3 linked regions of the Struthio camelus genome follow. The protein of the gene in region 2 interacts with the protein of the main gene of each other region in a biochemical or structural test. Links are inferred from orthologs where the notes say so. Each region holds a gene or a part of one and is shown on either strand. Other genes may lie near its edges.

Region 1 (7,128 bases), about 220 Mb from region 2:
TCTCAGACACTTCTCTTCCTGCTAAGGAGCTGAGGGAAATATCCAGATACAGTCCTTAGGGACCCATCTGGCTCACTGCACTGGGAGCCAGGAATTATTTCCTGCAGCCACTCACACGCTCAGTTCAGGCAGGATCATGCCAGAAGCTCCAAGGGACCACAGGCTGCTGGGACCCTGCATCGCTACAAGTCATGAAGTTCAACCAAGCACTATCCCAGATTTCCTCTAATCCCAAAGCACATGCCTGCACACGAGGGAACGAGAGTGACTTCAGCCGAGCTCCCTGCTCAGTTCCTCGTTAGGAGGAAGAAAGCCTGCCACCAGCCACTCGAGGACCAGAGGTGACGATGAGCTTCGACCTTTCCCCACGCAATGCCCTCTTTTGCTAAGAGGGGAGCAGGTTCATCCCACCGACCAGAACAGCGTTTGTTGCAGATGTGGGGGCCCATGACCCTTCGCCCCCCCAGCAGCACAGAGGCCTGAAGGGGTCCCCATGCAACAGCCACATCCACCGTGGCCTGCGGCGGCACGTACCTGCGTGTTCTGGAAGTAGTGCCTCCACAGGGGGCGGATTTTGTCCTGGCCACCCACATCCCAGACCGTGAAGCAGATGTTCTTGTACTCCACTGTCTCCACGTTGAACCCTGCAGGGGTGGCAGGAAGGGCAAGAAGTGACAGCACACACACTGTCAATCCTGCTGGCAGCCTCAGGGCTCTCAGACCACAGGCAAGAGACACAGGAGGCAGCAGCCCTAGTCTGATCAAACTCTGTGTTTCTGAGCTGCGGGACAGAGAATCGCACAGGGAGATGATGCAGCATCAGGCATACAACACCCACTGGTGTCTCAGGAGTGCAGGAAGGGAGACCAAGGTGCACTGCTGCATTCATCTGCCACCAATCCCCAGGGAGCATCTCTACCCCCAGCACCGCACTGTTAACACAATTCGGCTGTGCAGAGGGTCTAGGAAACACATGCTGCAGAGCTTCCTGCCCTCAGCCTGCTCACTCTGCAAGCTGAGCATCCCCACGCTCACAAGCATTGCCCAGCAAGTCTATCCTGGCCCTGCCAGCTCTCCAGGACCAGCACTGCATGATTTCACCAGCCAGCCCCTGGGAACATCCCCTTGAAAACCTCAGCAGCCCAGATGTGGCTGATACTCATGTACCAAAAATCACAGAACAGTTGGGGTTGAGAAGAGCCTCTGGAGATCATCTAGTCCAATCCCCAACTCAAGCAGGGTCATGTAGAACACATTGCACAGGATCGTGTCCAGGTGGATTTTGAATATCTCCAAGGATGGAGACTCCACAACCTCTCTGGGCAATCTGTTCCAGTGCTCAGTCACCCTCACAGTGAAGGAGTGTTTTCTTGTGTTCAAGTGGAAATTCCTGTGTTTCAGCTTGCGCCCACTGCCTCTTATCCTGTCACCGGGCACAACTGAGAAGAGTCTGGCACATCTTCTTAACATCTTACCTTCAGCTCTTTAGTCACACGAATAAGACACCACCCTGAGTCTTCTCTTCTCCAGGCTGAAGAGTCCCAGCTCTCTCAGCCTTTCTTAATATGACAGATGCTCCAGTTCCTTCATCATCTCTGTGGTCCTTTGCTGGACATGCTCCAGCAGGTCCATGCCTCTCTGTCCTGAGGAGCCCAGACCTGGACTCGGCACTCCAGGTGTGGCCTCACCAGGGCTGAGCAGAGGGGAAGGATCACCTCCCTCGACCTGCTAGCAACGCTCTGCCTAATGCAACCCAGGAGGCCACTGGCCACCTTTGCTGTAAGAGTATGTTGCTGACCCATGTTCAACTTGTTGTCCCACCAGGACCACCTAGGCCTTCTCTGCAAGGCTGCTCTGCAGCCAGTTGGCTGCAGACCCCAGCTTGTCCTGGTGTCTGGAGTTATTGCTCCCCAGGGGCAGGACTCTGCCCTTCCCTGTGTTGAACTTCATGAGGTTCCTCTCTGCCCATCTCTCCAGCCTCTTGAGGCCCCTCTGGGGTATCAGCCACTCCTCCCCCTTTTGCATTGTCTACAAACTTGCTGAGGGTGCGTTCGGTCCCACCACCCAGGTCATTAACGAAGGTGTTAAAGAGTGTTGGCCCCAGTATGGACCCCTGGGGCGCACCACTCGTGACCGGCCTCCAGGTGGACTTTGTGCTACTCATCATAACCCTCTGAGCCCAGCAGTTTAGCCAGATTTCAGTTGACTTAGTTAGCGTGTCCTTCACCAGTTTGTCTGAGATGTTATGGGAGACAGCGTTGAAAGCCTCCCTAAAGGCTTTCCACCCGTGCGCCGGCAGGAACAACAACCTGTCCTGCCTTTAGAGCTCGGGCAGGCTCTGAAAACAGCACGTGGCGGCCTCCTCGCCAAGCGAAGTGCCTTTGAACCAGACCGAAGCAAGATCACGCTGACGTAAGGGCTTCAGTTCAGCGCTTGCCAACACAAGGCAGATGAGGAGCCGCAAACCAAGCTGCGCGAGCGCAAGGTGGCCCACAAGCCAACCCTGCTCGCCGAGCGAGGCGGCGCGCCCGGCAAGGCTGCAAAGGCGGGAGGCGGCAGGCGCTGCCGAGGCCCCCGGCCTCCGCGCGGTAGGGCCGCTCGACCGCGCCGGGCCAGGACCACCCTCCCAGCCGGCCGGCAGCCCCCGGCACGCGGACGGGGCACCGGGCCGGCGACGCCAGCCGCGTCCAGGGCCGGGGGCGGCCGGGGGCGGCCCGGCGGCGGCCACTCACCGATGGTGGGGATGGTGGTGACGATCTCGCCCAGCTTCAGCTTGTAGAGGATGGTGGTCTTGCCGGCGGCGTCCAGCCCCACTGCAACAGAGAGGCGGCGGTCACCGGTGCCCCCAGGCCCGGCCCCGGCCCGCCGCCCGCCCCCGCCGCTCACCCATGAGGATCCGCATCTGCTTCTTGCCGAAGATGCGGGAGAAGATGGCGGACACCGTGAGGCCCATGGCGGCGGCGGCGGCGGCGGCGGCGGCGGGAGGGGAGGGACGCGACGGCCCCGCTGCCTCGGCGCTCCGCCGCGCCGCGCCACGCCCCCTCGCCGCCAGGCCCCGCCCCCTCCCCGCCAGACCCCGCCCCCTCCCCGCCCTCACTTAGCTAGACCCCGCCCCCTCTTAGCCAGGCCCCGCCCGCTCCCTGCGCCCCCGCGCCGCCCGGGCCCGCCTCCTGCCCCTCGGGCCCGCCCCCCCGGCCGCCACGCCCCCTTGGACGAAGCCCCGCCCCCTCGGCCTCATCCCTGCCTTACGGCGCCCCGCCGGAGAAGCCCCGCCCCCGGGGTTATTTAGGCCCGCCCCTCGCCGTGACACGCCTCCATGGGCCTCGCCCCTTCCCTCTGACGCGCGCGCGCGCGCGCACCCCCCCCCCGCTCCCGTCCCCACGGAAGCCCCGCCCACTTCCGCCCCCGCCCCTGCTGCCGATGGCGTATTGGCCCCCCCGGGGGGCGGGGCTGCGCCTGCGCATTGAAGCCCATTGGCTCCGCGGGCGGCGCTCGCGGCGCGTCTGTGGCGTGTCGCCCCCATGTGCGCATGCCCCGGGGGAGGGGGGGGGGAGGGGGAATCTCACCCCGGCGGATTGTGACGGGCGCCCCGCCAGGCGCCGCCCTCGCGCCTCGGTGCGGTTCGCGCCTGCGCAGTCCGATCTCCCGGGAGGGGGTGGAGGAGGCGGGGGGGGAAAAAAAACGGCGGTCTGGCGCGTGCGCACTGAGCCGCGGCGGGCGGCGGGGGGGGGGGCTCCGCGCCTGCGCAGTGGAGGCTGCGACCCGCCGGCCTGCAGGTGAGGCCCGGGCGGCGGCGGCGGCGCGGGCCGGGAGCGGGAGGGGGGGTTTGGGGACGCCCCCGGCGGCCCGTCGCTGCCCTCTCTCCTGCCCCGATGCCTCCCCCAGCCCCGGCGGCCCGGGAGAGGCCCCCTTGGTAGGGCTCCGGGCTGGCGGTGCGCGGCTGGGCCCTCCCCCCCCCCCCCGGTGGGGCCCGGTGACAGGACGAGAGGCAGCGGGCCCCGGCTGAAGCCCAGGAAGCTCTGTCTGAGCATGAGGAAAAACTTCTTCAGCGCGAGGGTGACAGAGCACCGGCACAGGTTGCCCAGAGCGGTTGTGGAGCCTCCCTCCTTGGAGATGTTCCAAAACCCACCTGGACGCGATCCTGGGCAACGTGCTCTCGGTGACCCTGCTTGAGCAGGGGGTTGGACCAGCCGGTCTCCAGAGGTCCTTGCCCACCTCAACCCTTCTGCGGCCTAACAGCAGCCCAGTATGTTTCTTAGGCTGTTCTGTTACAGGGTCATTAACTGGTGTCCCAGGGGGAGTCCAGCATGCTGGTCCTGATGAGCAACCTGCTCCTGTTAATCATAAATATGTCTTTGCTCTTTGTTTAGCCTGTGCACTGGTTTTCTCCTTCTCGTTTCAGATCGCACAGGGCATCATGGAGAAGTTTGGCATGAACTTCGGAGGTGGCCCAAGTAAAAAAGATCTTCTAGAAACTATTGAATCTCAGAAAAAGCAGCTTCTTCAGTACCAGGCTCGGCTGAAGGATGTTGTCAGAGCCTACAAGAGCTTGCTCAAAGAAAAGGAGGCCTTGGAAGCTAGCTTGAAAGTATTGTCCGTGTCTCATGAGGCAGATGTTGGCTTGAGTGGAGCTCACCCTGCGTCTGTGGCAAGCTCCAGCTCTTCCTTTGCCGATTCTGCTGATGACAGGAGTTCTGTTCACAGTGAGGATAGCGTGGGGACAGCCACCAGTGCAGACACGGCTGCCAGTCTGGCCAGTACCAAAGCTGAACCAGGAGCTGAGGATGATAAGCCTGCGGCCACTGCCTCCTCTCTTAAATCAGAGGAGACAAGCGGTTCAGAGAGCGGCATCAGCACAAACAGCGGAGATGTGCCATCATCTGCTGGTGAGGCTGATAAAAGAGTGCTCCAGCTGAAGACTCAGCTGGCCACCTTGACCAGTGCTCTGTCCACAGTCACACAGGAGAAATCTCGCATGGAAGCTTCATACCAAGCAGACAAGAAGAAGATGAAACAAGACCTGGATGATGCCGTTAAGAAAGCAGAGGATGAGAGGGACAAGTTGGAGACCGAGCTGAAGTCTGTCCAGGAACAGTTAGCAGAGACCAAAGCCCGTCTGATCACACAGCAGCATGACCGAGCCCAAGAACAGGGTGACCACGCTGTTATGCTGCGAGAGCTGCAGAAGCTGCTCCAGACTGAGAGGACTTCACGCCAGGACGTAGAGCTAAAGCTAGAGGAGACCAGGGAGCTGTTGGCTGGGAGGGTATGCCTGGCTGACCGTGCGGAGGGGTATGAACTGCAGATCAAGCAGCTGAGCCAGGAGGTAGAAGACCTGAAAAAAGAGTTGCAAACTGTGCAGGAAGAGAGCAACAAACCAGACCCACGGATACAGGATCTGCAGGAGGAGATGGCCAGTCTCAAGAATCACTTCCAAGTGCAGCTATTGCAAGAGATGAGAAAGGTAATTCCCTGGCTGTGTGCTTGAGCAGCTTACTCTGCGGGACATAGCAGCAGCAGTCAGGGGGCAGGGTTTGACTGGAGTGGCGGCACAATTTCCCTTCCCTGTCCAAGAAGTTTGAAATAAGTAAGAACATCATGGCTTTATTTGATGAGACGGTATTCCCTGAGGAAAATAAAGGCTGTTTGTGGTTCAGTGTGTAAGTCATACTATGCAGGGGCTAATGACCATGGGCGTTGGGAGCAGCCTTTATGAGGTGCTTGGGCTGTGGCTATCCTCTAGAGCGTCATTAGGTTCTGAACACGTTATCATCTGGTGTGATAGTGGCTGGGATGGGAGGAGAGACCTTTGCTTTGACTCACTGTGGCAATGAATGTGCTCTTGTCCTTGTAAAGTATTTAAGGGCAATGCAAGGTACAACTACTGTAGCTCATAAAAGGAAATAACTTCTAATGCAATGTTCTGTAAATCGGTAGGACTTTCCCCGGATGAGTGTGGAGATAATTGTGAAATAAGGCCTCTCATGCCTTCGTCTTCAGGGCCTGCACTACTTGCTTGTTGAAGTCATGAAACCATCTTTCCCTTTTCCTATTCTACAGCATGGCAGATGAGAGATTTCTGTGAATTTCACAGCTGCTGTGACAAAAGCTATCAAACTGCAGAGGTTCTTGTCTGATCCATTGTGAAAGATGCTGTGCAGCTAAAGGTGACAGCCCATCCGTGCTGATGGGAACAACATAAACTGGTTTGGCTAGCGTAAGCCCAGGGAGCTTCGTGGCCTGTGCTATTGAAGGGCCTGGGGTTACTTTTCAGTGAAGTTTGAAGAGCTCTGGGGAAAGAAGAAAGGTAAATATGAGAAAAAGGCTCTTGCCTGCATGCATGTGGGGAGAGAAAAGAGCTAGAACAAGGGATGTGATGTAAAAGAGGAACCTGTGTAACTCTGTGGGTTGTGGGGCAACGTGCTCAGGAGATGGCACCAGTAACTGAATTTGCAGCCGGAAGCACTCCAGAATGGTATCCTCCTCATCCCTCGGCGTGGAACACGTTTTCTCCTTTCTAATCTGAAGGGTCTAATTAGGGACTAGGCTGATTTCACGCTATTTGCCTCTTTTTGGACGGTATCTGCAACACGTTCTCTGACAGAGGTGACAATGATCTGACCCCAGTTATGCTTTAATTCGTGATGGTCAGTCAAGTGCTGCCATTCAAATTTTCTATTAGACAGTTGGCTCTCGATAGCCATAAAAACTGTGAGCACCAGGTGTTTGTTGTAGTTACTCAGGAACCACTGAATTATGTTAATACCAGTGCAACAAAGCATAGCATTTAAATAAATTGTAGTTTGAGATATGAGAGTTTTAAAGCACGTGCATGTTTTTAAACATCCTATGTCAGACTGTGACATGAATTTGCTTTTTCCTACCCCCCACCAACCTGTAGCAATACAGATAACACTGCTGACAGGAATTCTGTTGGAGGACTGGGAGTAAAAACAAAAATGCCTTTGGTTTCTTTTATCCTTGAATCTCCCTTTTCAATACGGGCAAGTCAGCGTAGTGGCTTGTACAGGATTTTAGGGGAAAGGATGGCTCAGCCCTTGCCTGGAATTCATCAGAGCAGAATTAAGCCCCTGGGTAAACTGCAGACCTCCTGCAGAGAGTGTTGAG
Region 2 (8,067 bases):
TCCACCCTGCCAGGACACGGGACATGGCCTGGCTGCCGATGGACATGGGACGCGGCCTCGCTGCCAAGGGACATAGGAGGGACATGGGACACAGCCTGCCCCGTCAGGACACAGGACACGGCCTGGCCACCAATGGACACAGGAGGGACGCGGGACGTGGCCTGGCCACCAAGGGACACAGGAGGGACACGGCCTGGCCGCCAAGGGACACAGGAGGGACACGGGACGTGGCCTGGCCGCCAAGGGACATAGGAGGGACACGGGACACGGCCTGGCCGCCAAGGGACACAGGAGGGACACGGGACGTGGCCTGGCCGCCAAGGGACATAGGAGGGATATGGGACACGGCCTGGCCGCCGAGGGACACAGGAGGGTCACGGGACACGGCCTGGCCGCCGAGGGACACAGGAGGGACACGGGACGTGGCCTGGCCGCCGAGGGACATAGGAGGGACACGGGACACGGCCTGGCCGCCGAGGGACACAGGAGGGACACGGGACACGGCCTGGCCGCCGAGGGACACAGGAGGGATATGGGACACGGCCTGGCCGCCAAGGGACACAGGAGGGACACGGGACACGGCCTGGCCGCCGAGGGACACAGGAGGGATATGGGACACGGCCTGGCCGCCAAGGGACACAGGAGGGACACGGGACACGGCCTGGCCGCCGAGGGACACAGGAGGGATATGGGACACGGCCTGGCCGCCAAGGGACACAGGAGGGACACGGGACACGGCCTGGCCGCCGAGGGACACAGGAGGGACACGGGACGTGGCCTGGCCGCCGAGGGACACAGGAGGGGTATGGGACACGGCCTGGCCGCCAAGGGACACAGGAGGGACACGGGACACGGCCTGGCCGCCGAGGGACACAGGAGGGATATGGGACACGGCCTGGCCGCCAAGGGACACAGGAGGGACACGGGACACGGCCTGGCCGCCGAGGGACACAGGAGGGACACGGGACACGGCCTGGCCGCCGAGGGACACAGGAGGGATATGGGACACGGCCTGGCCGCCAAGGGACACAGGAGGGATATGGGACACGGCCTGGCCGCCGAGGGACACAGGAGGGACACGGGACGTGGCCTGGCCGCCGAGGGACACAGGAGGGACACGGGACACGGCCTGGCCGCCAAGGGACACAGGAGGGACACGGGACACGGCCTGGCCGCCGAGGGACACAGGAGGGACACGGGACATGGCCTGGCCGCCAAGGGACACAGGAGGGATATGGGACACGGCCTGGCCGCCGAGGGACACAGGAGGGATATGGGACACGGCCTGGCCGCCGAGGGACACAGGAGGGACACGGGACGTGGCCTGGCCGCCGAGGGACACAGGAGGGACACGGGACACGGCCTGGCCGCCGAGGGACACAGGAGGGATATGGGACACGGCCTGGCCGCCGAGGGACACAGGAGGGACACGGGACACGGCCTGGCCGCCGAGGGACACTGGAGGGACACGGGACACGGCCTGGCCGCCGAGGGACACAGGAGGGGTATGGGACACGGCCTGGCCGCCAAGGGACACAGGAGGGACACGGGACACGGCCTGGCCGCCGAGGGACACAGGAGGGACACGGGACACGGCCTGGCCGCCGAGGGACACAGGAGGGATATGGGACACGGCCTGGCCGCCAAGGGACACAGGAGGGACACGGGACACGGCCTGGCCGCCGAGGGACACAGGAGGGATATGGGACACGGCCTGGCCGCCAAGGGACACAGGAGGGATATGGGACACGGCCTGGCCGCCGAGGGACACAGGAGGGATATGGGACACGGCCTGGCCGCCGAGGGACACTGGAGGGACACGGGACACGGCCTGGCCGCCGAGGGACACAGGAGGGGTATGGGACACGGCCTGGCCGCCAAGGGACACAGGAGGGACACGGGACACGGCCTGGCCGCCGAGGGACACAGGAGGGACACGGGACACGGCCTGGCCGCCGAGGGACACAGGAGGGACACGGGACGTGGCCTGGCCGCCAAGGGACACAGGAGGGATATGGGACACGGCCTGGCCGCCAAGGGACACAGGAGGGACACGGGACACGGCCTGGCCGCCGAGGGACACAGGAGGGATATGGGACACGGCCTGGCCGCCAAGGGACACAGGAGGGATATGGGACACGGCCTGGCCGCCGAGGGACACAGGAGGGATATGGGACACGGCCTGGCCGCCGAGGGACACAGGAGGGACACGGGACGTGGCCTGGCCGCCGAGGGACACAGGAGGGACACGGGACACGGCCTGGCCGCCGAGGGACACAGGAGGGATATGGGACACGGCCTGGCCGCCGAGGGACACAGGAGGGACACGGGACACGGCCTGGCCGCCAAGGGACACTGGAGGGACACGGGACACGGCCTGGCCGCCGAGGGACACAGGAGGGACACGGGACACGGCCTGGCCGCCAAGGGACACAGGAGGGACACGGGACACGGCCTGGCTGCTGACGAAGGCGGCCAGGGACACCGTCCCCGGGGGACAGACTCTCGGGGCCCAGCGCGGCCCAGCCCGGCGCACCTCAGCCCCCGCCGGCCGCCGTCGCCGGGGAGCCGCACGGGGAGGCCCCGCCCCGACCCATGAGCTCCTCCCCGCGCCCCGCCCCGCCCCTGCCAGCTCCGCCTCGCGCCTAACCCCGCCCCTGGGCCACAGGCTCCGCCCTGTGCCCCGCCCCGGCCCGGCAGCCTCTGCCCTGCACCTGTCCCCGCCCCCGCAGGCCCCGCCCCACCCCAGCGCCCACGGGCTCCGCCCCTGGCCCCACCCCCACAGGCTCCGCCCTGCGCCTGGCCCTGCCCCACCCCCACCCTAGCGCCCACGGGCTCCGCCCCCGCAGACCCCACCCCGCAGGCTCTGCCCCGCCCCTTGCCCCACCCCGCGGGCTCCGCCCTGCGCCTGGCCCCGCCCCTTCTTCGACACCACGGGCCGAGGCGGGGACAGAGGAGGGGGCCGGGCGCGCAGCCCCCGCCCCGCCCCTGCGGCAGGGACCGTCCCCCCCGCCGGGCGCAGCGCGCCAGCGCTCGAGGTCTGCTCGCCCCGCCGCACGCCCACAGCCCGACATTCGCGATGACTCTTTTATTAGGACCGGGAAACACCTTCCCAGCAGTAGAAAAGCTCCAACTCTGCAGCACCAAAGGAGCTTTGTTGTTAAGACAAAAGAGTTCAGCTAAGAGCCCTCTTGGCCAGAACCGCAGCACTAGTTTTCTCCCTTACTGCCTTCAGTGCCAGCCGTCGGTCTCAGCCCCAGCGCCACCAGACACTGAACGGATGTGGCCGATGTCAGGAGGCTGTTCGTAATGCAGATGCATTAGAGGATGTGGACCTGCAAGGTCTGGTGTTGGTGCAGAGAGGATTCTACCGCTCCAGACTAGCAGTAGCAACAGCGTGTGGAGGCCCAGATCTCACTGCACTGCCCACAAGTTACTTCTCACACTGGTAACACAGGGCCCAGATCCAGCCTGCAACCATCCATCCCACCACTGCTGTGAGAAGGCAGGGCCCAGGAGTTACAGCTGTGCTATGTGCCAGCATCTGAGGCTCCTTCTGTGGCTCCACCAATGCCAGAAGCCACCTGCAAGTCAGGCTGGGCATCAGGGCCCCCAGTACCTGGGAGGGCAGGCGGTGCCACTGATACTTCCTTGGCAGAATTTGCAGACGTCTGGGCTGCACTGGCCTCGTAGTCCGAGGCACGGCGCTGCACAATGGAGGGCATAAGCGCCACATAGGCACTCATGAGGCGGTGGTTGGAGTGGACCAGTTTTCCAGCACAGCTGTCCAGGCACATCTCCTGCAGGATGGCGAGGTGTCAGCACGGCAGGCGGGCTCCTCATCAGGGGCACGCGCTGCCTCTCCCCACAGCCCCTCCAGCCCATCCAGTGCTGTGACGCGAGCAGGAAACCAGCACTGCAAGACCTGCGGTGCTCCAGCCGCCCGAGAAAGGCCCAACGCTGGGCTCACCTCATGCTTGGTGAGCACGCGGTAGTTCAGGTTGGAGACGCAGCGCCGGAAGCAGAGTTCAGTCATCCGGTTGTAGACCAGCAGGAAGTCCCGCAGCTGGAAGAGCAACAGCGCTGGTGCACGCTCACCCTGCTCAGGGTCTGCCAGTGTCCCAGGCCCCCACCAACCCCCTGAGCATCTCGGGGTCCCCGCCCAGCACTCGAGCGCCCCGGGGTCCCCACCAACCCCCTGAGCATCTCGGGGTCCCCACCCAGCCCCCGAGCGCCCCGGGGTCCCCACCAACCCCCTGAGCATCTCGGGGTCCCCACCGAGCCCCCGAGCGCCCCGGGGTCCCCACCAACCCCCTGAGCATCTCGGGGTCCCCGCCCAGCACCCGAGCACCCCGGGGTCCCCACCAACACCCTGAGCATCTCGGGGTCCCCGCCCAGCACTCGAGCGCCCCGGGGTCCCCACCAACCCCCTGAGCATCTCGGGGTCCCCGCCCAGCACTCGAGCGCCCCGGGGTCCCCACCAACCCCCTGAGCATCTCGGGGTCCCCACCCAGCACCCGAGAACCCCGGGGTCCCCACCAACACCCTGAGCATCTCGGGGTCCCCGCCCAGCACTCGAGCGCCCCGGGGTCCCCACCAACCCCCTGAGCATCTCGTGGCCCCACCGAGCCCCCCAGCGCCCTGGGCCTTGCCACTCCCCGGGCCCCCGGCCGAGCTCCTGCAGCCCCGCAGCGCCCCAGGCCCCACCCGGCCCCGGCCCCGGCCCCGGCCCCGGCCCCGGCCCCCCTCACGCTGCGGAGCTGCTGCTGCTCCCCGCTCTGCTCCATGCCCGCACAGGCACTTCCGGCCAGGAGCAATGACACAACTTCCGGTCGCGCCTGTCACCTCCGGTGTTTTCGGAAGCGCCGTTCCTCTTGGGGCCGCCGCTTCCGGGGATCAGGCCATTTCCGGCCCTGTTCCGCCCGGCGCTGTTCCCGGTCGCCCCCTGGTGACGCCACTTCCGCCCTGCCTCCCGGCGTCCCCTGCCCGGGGTGTGACGTCGGTTCCGGTGTGTGCCGGGGCCGAGGCGGATCGGGGCTCCGGCGCCTCCGGGGCGGGGGGACCCGGCAGCGGCCGGGGCGGCGCAGGTGGGCGGCGGGGCCTGGGGCCTGGGCCTGGGGCCTGGGGCCTGGGGCCTGGGGCCTGGGGCCTGGGGCCTGGGGCCTGGGGGAGCCGGGGGCCGGGACCTGGGGGCGGGGGGCGCTGTGTGCTCGTGGACAGGGGGTGCGGGGGGGGGAGTGGGGGGAGCGGGGGGCGCTGTGTGCCCGTGGACAGGGGGTGGGGGAGTGGGGGGAGCGGGGGGCGCTGTGTGCCCGTGGACAGGGGGTGCGGGTGGGGGAGTGGGGGGCGCTGTGTGCCCGTGGACGGGGGGTGCGGGTGGGGGAGTGGGGGGAGCGGGGGGCGCTGTGTGCCCGTGGACAGGGGGTGGGGGAGCGGGGGGCGCTGGGTGCCCGTGGACAGGGGGAGCGGGGGGCGCTGGGTGCCTGTGGACAGGGGGTGCGGGTGGGGGAGCGGGGGGAGCGGGGGGAGCTGTGTGCCCGTGGACAGGGGGAGCGGGTGGGGGAGCGGGGGGAGCGGGGGGCGCTGTGTGCCCGTGGACAGGGGGAGCGGGTGGGGGAGTGGGGGGAGCGGGGGGCGCTGTGTGCCCGTGGACAGGGGCTGCGGGGTGGGGGAGTGGGGGGAGCGGGGGGCGCTGTGTGCCCGTGGACAGGGGCTGCGGGGTGGGGGAGTGGGGGGAGCGGGGGGTGCTGGGTGCCCGTGGACAGGGGCTGCGGGTGGGGGAGTGGGGGGAGCGGGGGGCGCTGTGTGCCCGTGGACAGGGGCTGCGGGGTGGGGGAGTGGGGGGAGCGGGGGGTGCTGGGTGCCCGTGGACAGGGGCTGCGGGGTGGGAGAGTGGGGGGAGCGGGGGGTGCTGTGTGCCCGTGGACAGGGGGTGCGGGTGGGGGAGCGGGGGGTGCTGTATGCCCGTGGACAGGGGCTGCGGGGTGGGGGAGTGGGGGGAGCGGGGGGTGCTGTGTGCCCGTGGACAGGGGCTGCGGGGTGGGAGAGTGGGGGGAGCGGGGGGTGCTGTGTGCCCGTGGACAGGGGGTGCGGGGTGGGAGAGTGGGGGGAGCGGGGGGTGCTGGGTGCCCGTGGACAGGGGCTGCGGGGTGGGGGAGTGGGGGGAGCGGGGGGTGCTGGGTGCCCGTGGACAGGGGCTGCGGGGTGGGAGAGTGGGGGGAGCGGGGGGTGCTGTGTGCCCGTGGACAGGGGGTGCGGGTGGGGGAGCGGGGGGTGCTGTGTGCCCGTGGACAGGGGCTGCGGGGTGGGGGAGTGGGGGGAGCGGGGGGTGCTGTGTGCCCGTGGACAGGGGCTGCGGGGTGGGAGAGTGGGGGGAGCGGGGGGTGCTGTGTGCCCGTGGACAGGAGGTGCGGGTGGGGGAGCGGGGGGTGCTGTGTGCCCGTGGACAGGGGGAGCGGGGGGCGCTGTGTGCCCGTGGACAGGGGGTGGGGGAGCGGGGGGCGCTGGGTGCCCGTGGACAGGGGGAGCGGGGGGTGCTGTGTGCCCGTGGACAGGGGGTGCGGGTGGGGGAGCGGGGGGCGCTGTGTGCCCGTGGACAGGGGCTGCGGGGTGGGGGAGTGGGGGGAGCGGGGGGTGCTGTGTGCCCGTGGACAGGGGCTGCGGGGTGGGAGAGTGGGGGGAGCGGGGGGTGCTGTGTGCCCGTGGACAGGAGGTGCGGGTGGGGGAGCGGGGGGTGCTGTGTGCCCGTGGACAGGGGGAGCGGGGGGCGCTGTGTGCCCGTGGACAGGGGGTGGGGGAGCGGGGGGCGCTGGGTGCCCGTGGACAGGGGGAGCGGGGGGTGCTGTGTGCCCGTGGACAGGGGGTGCGGGTGGGGGAGTGGGGGGAGCGGGGGGTGCTGTGTGCCCGTGGACAGGGGGTGGGGGAGCGGGGGGTGCTGTGTGCCCGTGGACAGGGGGTGGGGGAGCGGGGGGCGCTGTGTGCCCGTGGACAGGGGGTGGGGGAGCGGGGGGAGCGGGGGGCGCTGTGTGCCCGTGGACAGGGGGAGCGGGGGGCGCTGGGTGCCTGTGGACAGGGGGTGCGGGTGGGGGAGCGGGGGGCGCTGGGTGCCTGTGGACAGGGGGTGCGGGTGGGGGAGTGGTGGGGTTGTGTGCACCGCTGGTGCGTGGGGCTCCGTGCTGGGAACTGCAGCGTGAAGGCATGGCAGATGCCTGCCTGAAACAGCAAGTGCCTCCAGGGCAATCAGGGCTGACCTCGGGGGCCGCTGTGCTAGCGGCACGGCTGAGGGCACCACAGCTGGGTGCTGCTGCGCGTTACATCTGTCCCTGCTGCCCACTGGGGCCAGGAGATGGTGCCCCGCTTCAGGAGGGGGCTGGGGATGTGTCTGTGGGGCCACGGCCACCCCATTCACCCAGGGGAGAGCCCAGTGCCAGGTGCTGTTGGGTGGTGTTGTCTTTCCCTGGCGCTGCAGCCCCTCCAGAACAGAGCGACTGCCTGCTCAAGGGAAGCCCACAGGGCTGGGAGTTTCCCAGGGCCCAGGCCATGTTGCAGGTAGAGGTTTGGCTCAGAGAGATCAGGGAGTACTGCTGGAGTTGCGTGTTCTGCCCTTCGTATCCTGCTCCCTGTACTTGCTAAGGCGTGTTCGTGTTGGGTTGCTGCTAGGGTCAGTGGTGACTCCCACTGTTTTTGATATGGGACCAGATCTATAGAGCTCTTGTCAAAGAGCAAGTGCCAGTGCTGGTGGGTCCCTGCGTGACTGGAACCATTGTGCTTACCTGGTGCTGCCTGGCCTCAGGCCCTGGCTGCCGCAGCGAGGGGTGGGTGCCACCCAGGTGGAGCGTCCTGCCTACAGCTGCAGGGCAATCAGGACTGCTGGGTCCGCTCTCTGCCTTTGCCTCTGCCGTTAGTTGACTGTGAGTTGTTTCTCTTCCCAAGCTGTAGTTTCCCTGCTCTGGAGCAGGCTCTGGAGCAGGAGCCATGGTCACTGTTTGAGGGCTGTTCTGAGCTACAACCTGAGGGCAGGTGCAGAGACCACTAGATATGAGCTATACGGTACAGCTTTCGCTGTGT
Region 3 (6,968 bases), on a different chromosome or scaffold from region 2:
CCACTAACCTCCACATCCTGATGTTAATTTTAGCCCTGCTTGGCAGTAAACTCCATTTAGATAAATTTCCTTTACTAAAGAGATGAGACTGAACTGGCAGTATCCAGGGGGATCGGTAGGGCTCACTGTAAATTGCAGGGCAGTATGGTACTCAGCCATAATACTTGCTGCTTTAAAGACCAGAGCATGAACCCTGGCACTGCCTGTTGCACTCAGGGACACTCGTGAGGCCTGATGTCAGCAGATCGTACCCTCAGCTCAGCCTGCACGTGCTGCTTAAGAGAGGTCACGGATGGTATGTTTTCCTTGGCATTCTCCCTCTTTGCTCAATGCATGAAAGAGAAAGGCTTCCTCTGAAACTGTTGTTGTCATTCCCTTAATAATTCCGTAATCTAGGAAATCTCCCGTTCTCATTCTAGACTGCAAAGAGAGCACACGATTTCCCCTTTGCTGTTCCAAGGGGGATTGCTTTGCATGTGCCACATAACAGCAAAAATATGGCTGTGATAAAAATTAACCCAAATGAAAGATTTGCTATTTTTGAAGCGACAGAGGGATTGACAGAGGGTCAAGTCTCTTACACATGCAATCTCAAGTAAAAGCACACCTGTGCTCTCCGGGCAGGCTGGAAGGCAGCCACGTAGCCTGGCCTCCTGAAGACTGATGCCAAGGGGACCACGGGGGACATTTCACCGGGTTTGTACCCTGGCCCCCCTTCCCATGTCCTCTCCTGTGACTCACATACAGCTACCAACACAGGCTGCATTTCCCACTGCCTTCCTCCCCGCAGGCCCTGCCAGCACAAAGCGGGCTAACGCCCTGCGCAGGCAGGCCCTGCTCCAGCACGCCTGCCCTGCAATCACCAGGTGAGGACCAGCCCCATGGTGACTAAGAGCATACGAGGAAGCACAGGGCTGCCCCGTGCAGGGGCGGTGAGTCCTGGCGTACCGGCCTCGCCACCTAGTCACCGGCAGCCCAGCCTGGCGGGGTTGCGACATACGGCAGGGGTTTCTGTCTGTGAAACTGGCCCAACGTGTGGCTGTGAAGTACGTGCAGCAGGAGCCGTTTTGCACCGTGCAGGGTGCACAGTGGGGCACAGCTCCCAGGGAAGGCAGTGGAGGAATGTGGCCAGGTATTTGAACACTTTATTTCCTGGTTGGTTAGCCACGGTTTAAGTTCCACTGATCCTAGTTATCTGGAGTGACCCAAGACACCACCCACCAAAGAGCCTTAACCCTTTCTGCCACTACACATCCCAAGTTGTTTTGTTTTAAAACAGGGGAGATTCTTTTTGGAGAACACTGGGGAGGGCTCACCCCCATAGGCTACAGGCATGGCTGCAGCCGAGACATCCTGACTCCTGGTGTAGGTATGGGGGGAGACGTGCTTCTGCAGCCTCCTCCTTACTCCTCCTGTAATCTTGTCATGGTAGTGGGGGAGTTGTGCTCATATCCTCAAGCATCTTGCATCAAGGCTAGTGATACTGCAAATGTGGTTTGTGCTGTCAAATGTAGGCTTTTTTATATTGCAGAAGTTATGTGCTCCTGCTTGTCTTCTTCCCAAGCCTGTGAAGCCACTGGCTTGGCACGAGCCAGGGCACAAAAAAGCTGCTCCTAACCATACAGCCATGTCTAACACTCTGATGTATAACGCAGGCAGTAGCTGACTGGGCGTAGGACTGTTCTTGGTTTCATATCCTGTGACGTCTTTCAATATACAGCACGTACCTTCCGGGCCAGCCCGCCCTCCTCAAGGCCTTAAAAAACAAAAAAAAGGCAAACATCAAATTTATATTCTGTGGTTTTCAAAGATTTAAGTATGATGACCCTTTCAGTTATGGCTCATATAGGTCAGGCTCATAGGGGTCAGGCAGGACCACTCAGAGCTACACAAGGGCTCAAGCCCCTTCCACGCCCACATTTCAGTCTGTTCCCTGCCCCTGCTCTACTGCTCCTGCCAACTACCGGACACTACACAGTCTTCATAATGTCCCTAAAGTCACTGCCTCCCAACTTCCCACTTCCTTTCTCCAGTCTGCCACCTTCTTCCCTTTCCAGCAAGCCCTTCATTGGCACTTCCTCTTCTTAAAGAAAATACAGCTTGTGCTGTGCTCAGATGAGACCTGCTTTCTTCCCCCCAACTAACAGATTTTTAACAGCGATTCATTCAACATACCTACGTTAATTTTTCCAACACCTGCCAAGGCCAGTGTTGGCGTTTGCTACGTCTGGGCATCATTCAGGAGCTAATATACCACCAGCTCTACGCCACCACACAGGTCAAGTGAGCGGCCTAGCCAGGATCCCTCTTCTGTATGTTGCCTGAGCACCCTCAGTGTAATTGATTTGGGACACAACCACGGGATTTGAGCTTCCCTGTGAGGCTCCAACACTGCGTTCAGCTTTGCTCTTCCATTAGCAGGCAATGAGTCGAGACCCTGAGGGCCAGTCTGATGTTCCAGCTACGGCATTACAGAAAACAGCAGACTGGACGACACCTTAAGGGATTAGTTAGTCCAGCACCATGCATGAGCCCAGCTCAAGCACTCTGGATCATACTCCACAGGCTTCTGTCTGAGCTCCAAAGCGCGTGACCCTAAAACCTCAAGAAGGGACCGCACAGGCTCCCCCCGCAGATGGCTTCCCTCAGAAAGCCCTTCCCACAAGGTGGCCTAAACCTTTTGCCAACCTCGGCACGGCAGAGCAGGGCGATGACGAGCCCGGCCCCCCTCCCCGTCAGCCCCTTTTCCCTAGGGCGGCCTAGCGCAGGGCGGACCCCAGGCACCAGAGGCCCCTTCCCGCCTCGGTGGCCCTGTGAGACCTGTCCCTCCGCGAGGAGCCAGGGCCACCGGCGGCCGCGCAGCGACGGCGGGGCCCCTCAGGCGCATCACCCCTCCCCCAAAGCGCAGGCGGCCGGGCGCAACGGTTGGCGCCAACCGCCGTCAGGGCGGGCACGGGCACGCGCCCGCCCCCGCGCATGCGCGCAAGGAGCAGCGGCAGCGACACCCATCCCACCTCCCCCGCCCCGCTCCGGGCCCTTTAAGAAGCGCCCGTGGCGTCCTGCGCGTGTCGTGTGCTGACGTGTGATCGCGTGGCGCCTCTCTCCACAGACGCCCCGCCCCCTCCGGCTGCCGCATGCGCACTCACGCCGCAAGCCCCGGTCCCGGCCCCGCCCCGTTGCTCCCCGGCCCGCTGCGCAGGCGCAGCAGTACGGGAAGTACCGCCCTCGCCTGTGCTGGGCGGCGGGGCGTGCGCAGACGGCGCACGCGCGGCGCTCGCGGCGGGCAAATCGGGCGCGCTCCTACGCCGCCGCCCCGCCCTTCTGCGCCGGCGTGCTCCGTCTGCGCGCGCTCCCTCCGACGCGCGCGGGGCGGGCCGCCGTGACGGCACCCGGCGCACGCGCGGTTCCCTTCCCGAGGCCGCGCGGGGGCGGGCGGAAAGGGGCGGGGCGCCGCTTGCCCCGCTCCCCCCCCACCGCCGCCGCGCTGTGAGGGGGGGCCGGGCGCATGCGCAGAGGGCAGGGCGGGTGGGGCCGGGGGCGGGGGCGCGGCGCGCAGGCGCAGTGGCGGCGGAGGGGGAAGTGAGGCGGGCTCGCGCGGCGCCTTTTCCGGCGAGGGCAGCTGCCTGAGGGGAGCGGCGCGGCGCGGCGCGGCCAGCAGCGGAGCCGGCCTCGGCCTCGGCCCCGGCCTCAGCCCCAGCCCGCGGGCGGCCCTGAGGTAACTACCGGCGGCCCCGCTACCTCCGCCTGCGCGGGCCAGGACGCGGAGCCGCCGCCCCTGAGCCGGCCTCCATGAGCTGAGGCGCCGGGGCGGCAGCCAAGGCAAGAGCCGGGCGGAGCCGTTGCCGCCGCCGTCGCCGCCTCAGGCCCGGCCGGCGAGCGGGGCGCGGCGCGGCCGGTCTTCCCGCTCCGCAGCGGCAGGTCTCGGCCTCCGCGGCCGGCCCATGCGGCGCTGAGCCCCGCCTGCCCTTGGCCTGACGCGCCGGGCCGGGCCGGCCCCGCTCCGCTGCGCTCCGGGCCGCCGCCCCGCGCCGGCTGCTCGGCTGCGTCGCCGCTCGTCCCTCATCTCTCCCTTCCCCCCCCTCCCCCCCCCCGCCGGCGCCGGGCCCCTTGGATGCCGCCGAGATGGGCAAGGTGCTGTCCAAGATCTTCGGCAACAAGGAGATGCGGATCCTGATGCTGGGTCTGGACGCGGCCGGTAAAACCACCATCCTGTACAAACTGAAGCTGGGCCAGTCGGTCACCACCATCCCCACCGTGGGCTTCAACGTGGAGACGGTGACTTACAAAAACGTCAAGTTCAACGTGTGGGATGTCGGGGGCCAGGACAAGATCCGTCCCCTCTGGAGGCACTACTACACGGGCACGCAAGGGTTGATCTTTGTGGTGGACTGCGCCGATCGCGACCGCATCGACGAGGCCCGCCAGGAGCTCCACCGCATCATCAACGACAGGGAGATGCGGGACGCCATCATCCTCATCTTCGCCAACAAGCAGGACCTGCCCGATGCCATGAAACCCCATGAAATCCAGGAGAAACTGGGCCTGACCCGAATCAGGGATAGGAATTGGTACGTGCAGCCCTCCTGTGCTACTACAGGGGATGGACTCTACGAAGGGCTGACATGGTTAACATCCAATTATAAATCCTAATGAGAGAATAACTATTTAGTCTACAAAGAATTAAAAAAAAAATAACCCACATGGCTTTCCAGACGAATGATTCTCTACTGAAAAGTAAAACAAAAGCATCCATAGGATTATGATCACCTTTCTCCAGTTACCACCCTTTCGTTCTACACACTGACTGGATTCCTGTTTTAACTCTCCTTGCTTGGCGTTAGGATGCTCTAATCTTCAAACGTGACACGAACACAAGCACTAGATGCTATGGCAGACCTCCAGCAAACAGGGGAAAGACACATTGTAGACTTGCTAAGTAACTTTTTTTTTTCCTCTTGATAGCCTTTAAGATGGTTTGATTATTTTGGGGGATGGTTGGGGGAGGGGTACCATTTTCAGCGTATGCTTTCTGGTTCTACTTTTTTGATTACGTTTTTTTCTTCTATCACTTGCTGTAGATTGCTACTTTTTTGCATCCATGCAGAATATGTTGATAGGTCTACTTCATCTAGTAAACGGAAAACTATTGCTTAAAATCAAACTGCAGTCTGTCTTTTTATATTAAGGACTTTTTTAAAAGTTCTGTTAATCTGTAACTAAATAGTGACTCTCAGTCTGTCTTCATATCTCAGACTAATAATGAAACGAAATCTTGCCTACAGTGGCAGATAGTGAGAATACCATTGTAATATGTTCAAAGTGCATATCAGGCATAATGTTAACTAGGTAATGTAAGAACTGCTTTGAAATGTCAGCTGTGAAGTTCTGAACCATACATCATGCATGAGAAGGGATGCAAGTAAGTTCCCCATACTACATAGCAACCATATAGCAAATACAACATGAATGATGTAGTAGTTCCAGGGTATATACTGTTCAGTTTTTGTCTTGCATTGCAAACTTAATGATGTTTAGCTGCAGTTTTTATTACTTGTGTCAGTCTCCAATTCAACGCAAGATATGTTCCTTCCAAAAAAATGCAGCAATAACGTGTAACCATTGCGACAAGTTTTAATTTAAATCACAAACGTTTAGGCAAAAATCTAGCACTGACTTTACTGTCTTGCGATAAAGAAAAGTTGCTTTCATCTCAAGACACTTGAAGACATCTTTTAAACCTTAAAAGGATTTATTTTCGTTACTTCTGAAATGCATGTATTGGAGAAAGGAGAACCAGAACCCTATTTTTCCATTTTGTAGACTCCCGAATGGGCAAGTTCAGCGCGAAGCTTTAACAGAGCTCAGTAATTCTGACATGTGAATGATTGCCATTTTGAGGAAATCACTTACTGGTTTAGTTCTGCAAGACTAGACTTAACTCATACAAATAGTTGCAGTCTTCGCCATCTGTCTCGGTAGCATGTTGTTGCTGTAGTCCTGTATGAAAGGAACTATGTTGGATGTCTGAAGCCCATTGAGTAACTATTAATGAGAACGGGAGGAGAGAGTGAGAAGACGACTATGAATGTAAACTTCCATAACTAGTTCTTAAAGGGCAAGCAGCTCATTTGCCATGTCACAGTTTTCAGATGTGACTGGCAAAAAAAACCCACCCAAAGCAAGTATTTGTATTAGTATAAAATCTCAATCAAGTATTAATACTGGGTGCAAAAAATGTAAAGCAGCTGGTTCTTATTCAGCCTTAAGGATTAACTTCAGATTTCCTCAAGGAGTTAAAATTCAATTGGGGAATTCTAGGAATGTATGCTACAAAACCAGAAGAAAATGGCTTTCTTTTTTTTTTTCCTTCCTTTTCCAAGGTTATGAGTTTTACATGAAATTGGGGCATTACACTACATTTCTGCAGTGTTTACTCTGCATGCTAAATGCATTGTGTATGGAGCTCTTACCAAAGACATATGGGAAGATAAAAATGCTGAATTCACTTCTGAATTTGTATGCTTTGGACCACTTACAAATTACCTTAGAGCATGGTTCCGAAAGAAGACTTATCTTGATGTGGGTTGCAAATGGGATTGAATGGGTTCTTGATACTAGAAGATAGAGCACTGATTGATTATAAACCTGTGCAAGTTAAAGATAAGAGTCTGGAAAAACAAGCTTCATGTACAGTACAAAAGCTCTTAAATCTCAGTCCTGAAGAAGAGGAGGTGAGGCTTTTCACTTAAGTCTTTTTGCCATTGGAATATCATTGCTCTATTTTCTAGGGTTTTTTTTTTTTTATAAGCGTAAGAATTCTTTTTTCTGTTGATGTAACTTAACAAATAGCGTGGTAGTATAAAGACTAAAAATATAAGAATATGGTTATTGTTTTCTTCTGGAGCATAAATAAAATAGCCAAGCACAAAGTAAATGCCTAAACTGGAAAACTTGAAGGTCTATTAATG

The links.
Region 1: the proteins of ARFIP2 (region 2) and ARF5 form a complex in vitro, tested with the Homo sapiens proteins (2 studies listed by BioGRID). The link is inferred for Struthio camelus from reciprocal best matches to the Homo sapiens genes ARFIP2 and ARF5.
Region 3: the proteins of ARFIP2 (region 2) and ARF6 form a complex in vitro, tested with the Homo sapiens proteins (2 studies listed by BioGRID). The link is inferred for Struthio camelus from reciprocal best matches to the Homo sapiens genes ARFIP2 and ARF6.

The regions. Positions count from the first base shown.
Region 1 is NC_090942.1:1,068,313-1,075,440, reverse strand, and holds the start of ARF5 (ADP-ribosylation factor 5), read right to left. Parts: upstream 3,052-7,128; 5' UTR 2,954-3,051; coding exon 2,887-2,953; intron 2,814-2,886; coding exon 2,733-2,813; intron 645-2,732; coding exon 535-644; intron 1-534. Other genes in the region: GCC1 (GRIP and coiled-coil domain-containing protein 1), read left to right, coding at 4,418-5,464.
Region 2 is NC_090942.1:225,141,379-225,149,445, reverse strand, and holds the start of ARFIP2 (arfaptin-2), read left to right. Parts: upstream 1-4,968; 5' UTR 4,969-5,087; intron 5,088-8,067. Other genes in the region: TIMM10B (mitochondrial import inner membrane translocase subunit Tim10 B), read right to left, coding at 3,531-3,800, 3,971-4,066, 4,752-4,787. UniProt on the Homo sapiens protein: Plays a role in constitutive metalloproteinase (MMP) secretion from the trans Golgi network. May have important functions during vesicle biogenesis at certain cargo subdomains, which could be predominantly utilized by secreted MMPs, such as MMP7 and MMP2.
Region 3 is NC_090946.1:81,169,579-81,176,546, reverse strand, and holds the start of ARF6 (ADP-ribosylation factor 6), read left to right. Parts: upstream 1-3,938; 5' UTR 3,939-4,122; coding exon 4,123-4,650; 3' UTR 4,651-6,968. UniProt on the Homo sapiens protein: GTP-binding protein involved in protein trafficking that regulates endocytic recycling and cytoskeleton remodeling. GTP-bound form plays an important role in the transport of multiple palmitoylated proteins form the Golgi to the plasma membrane.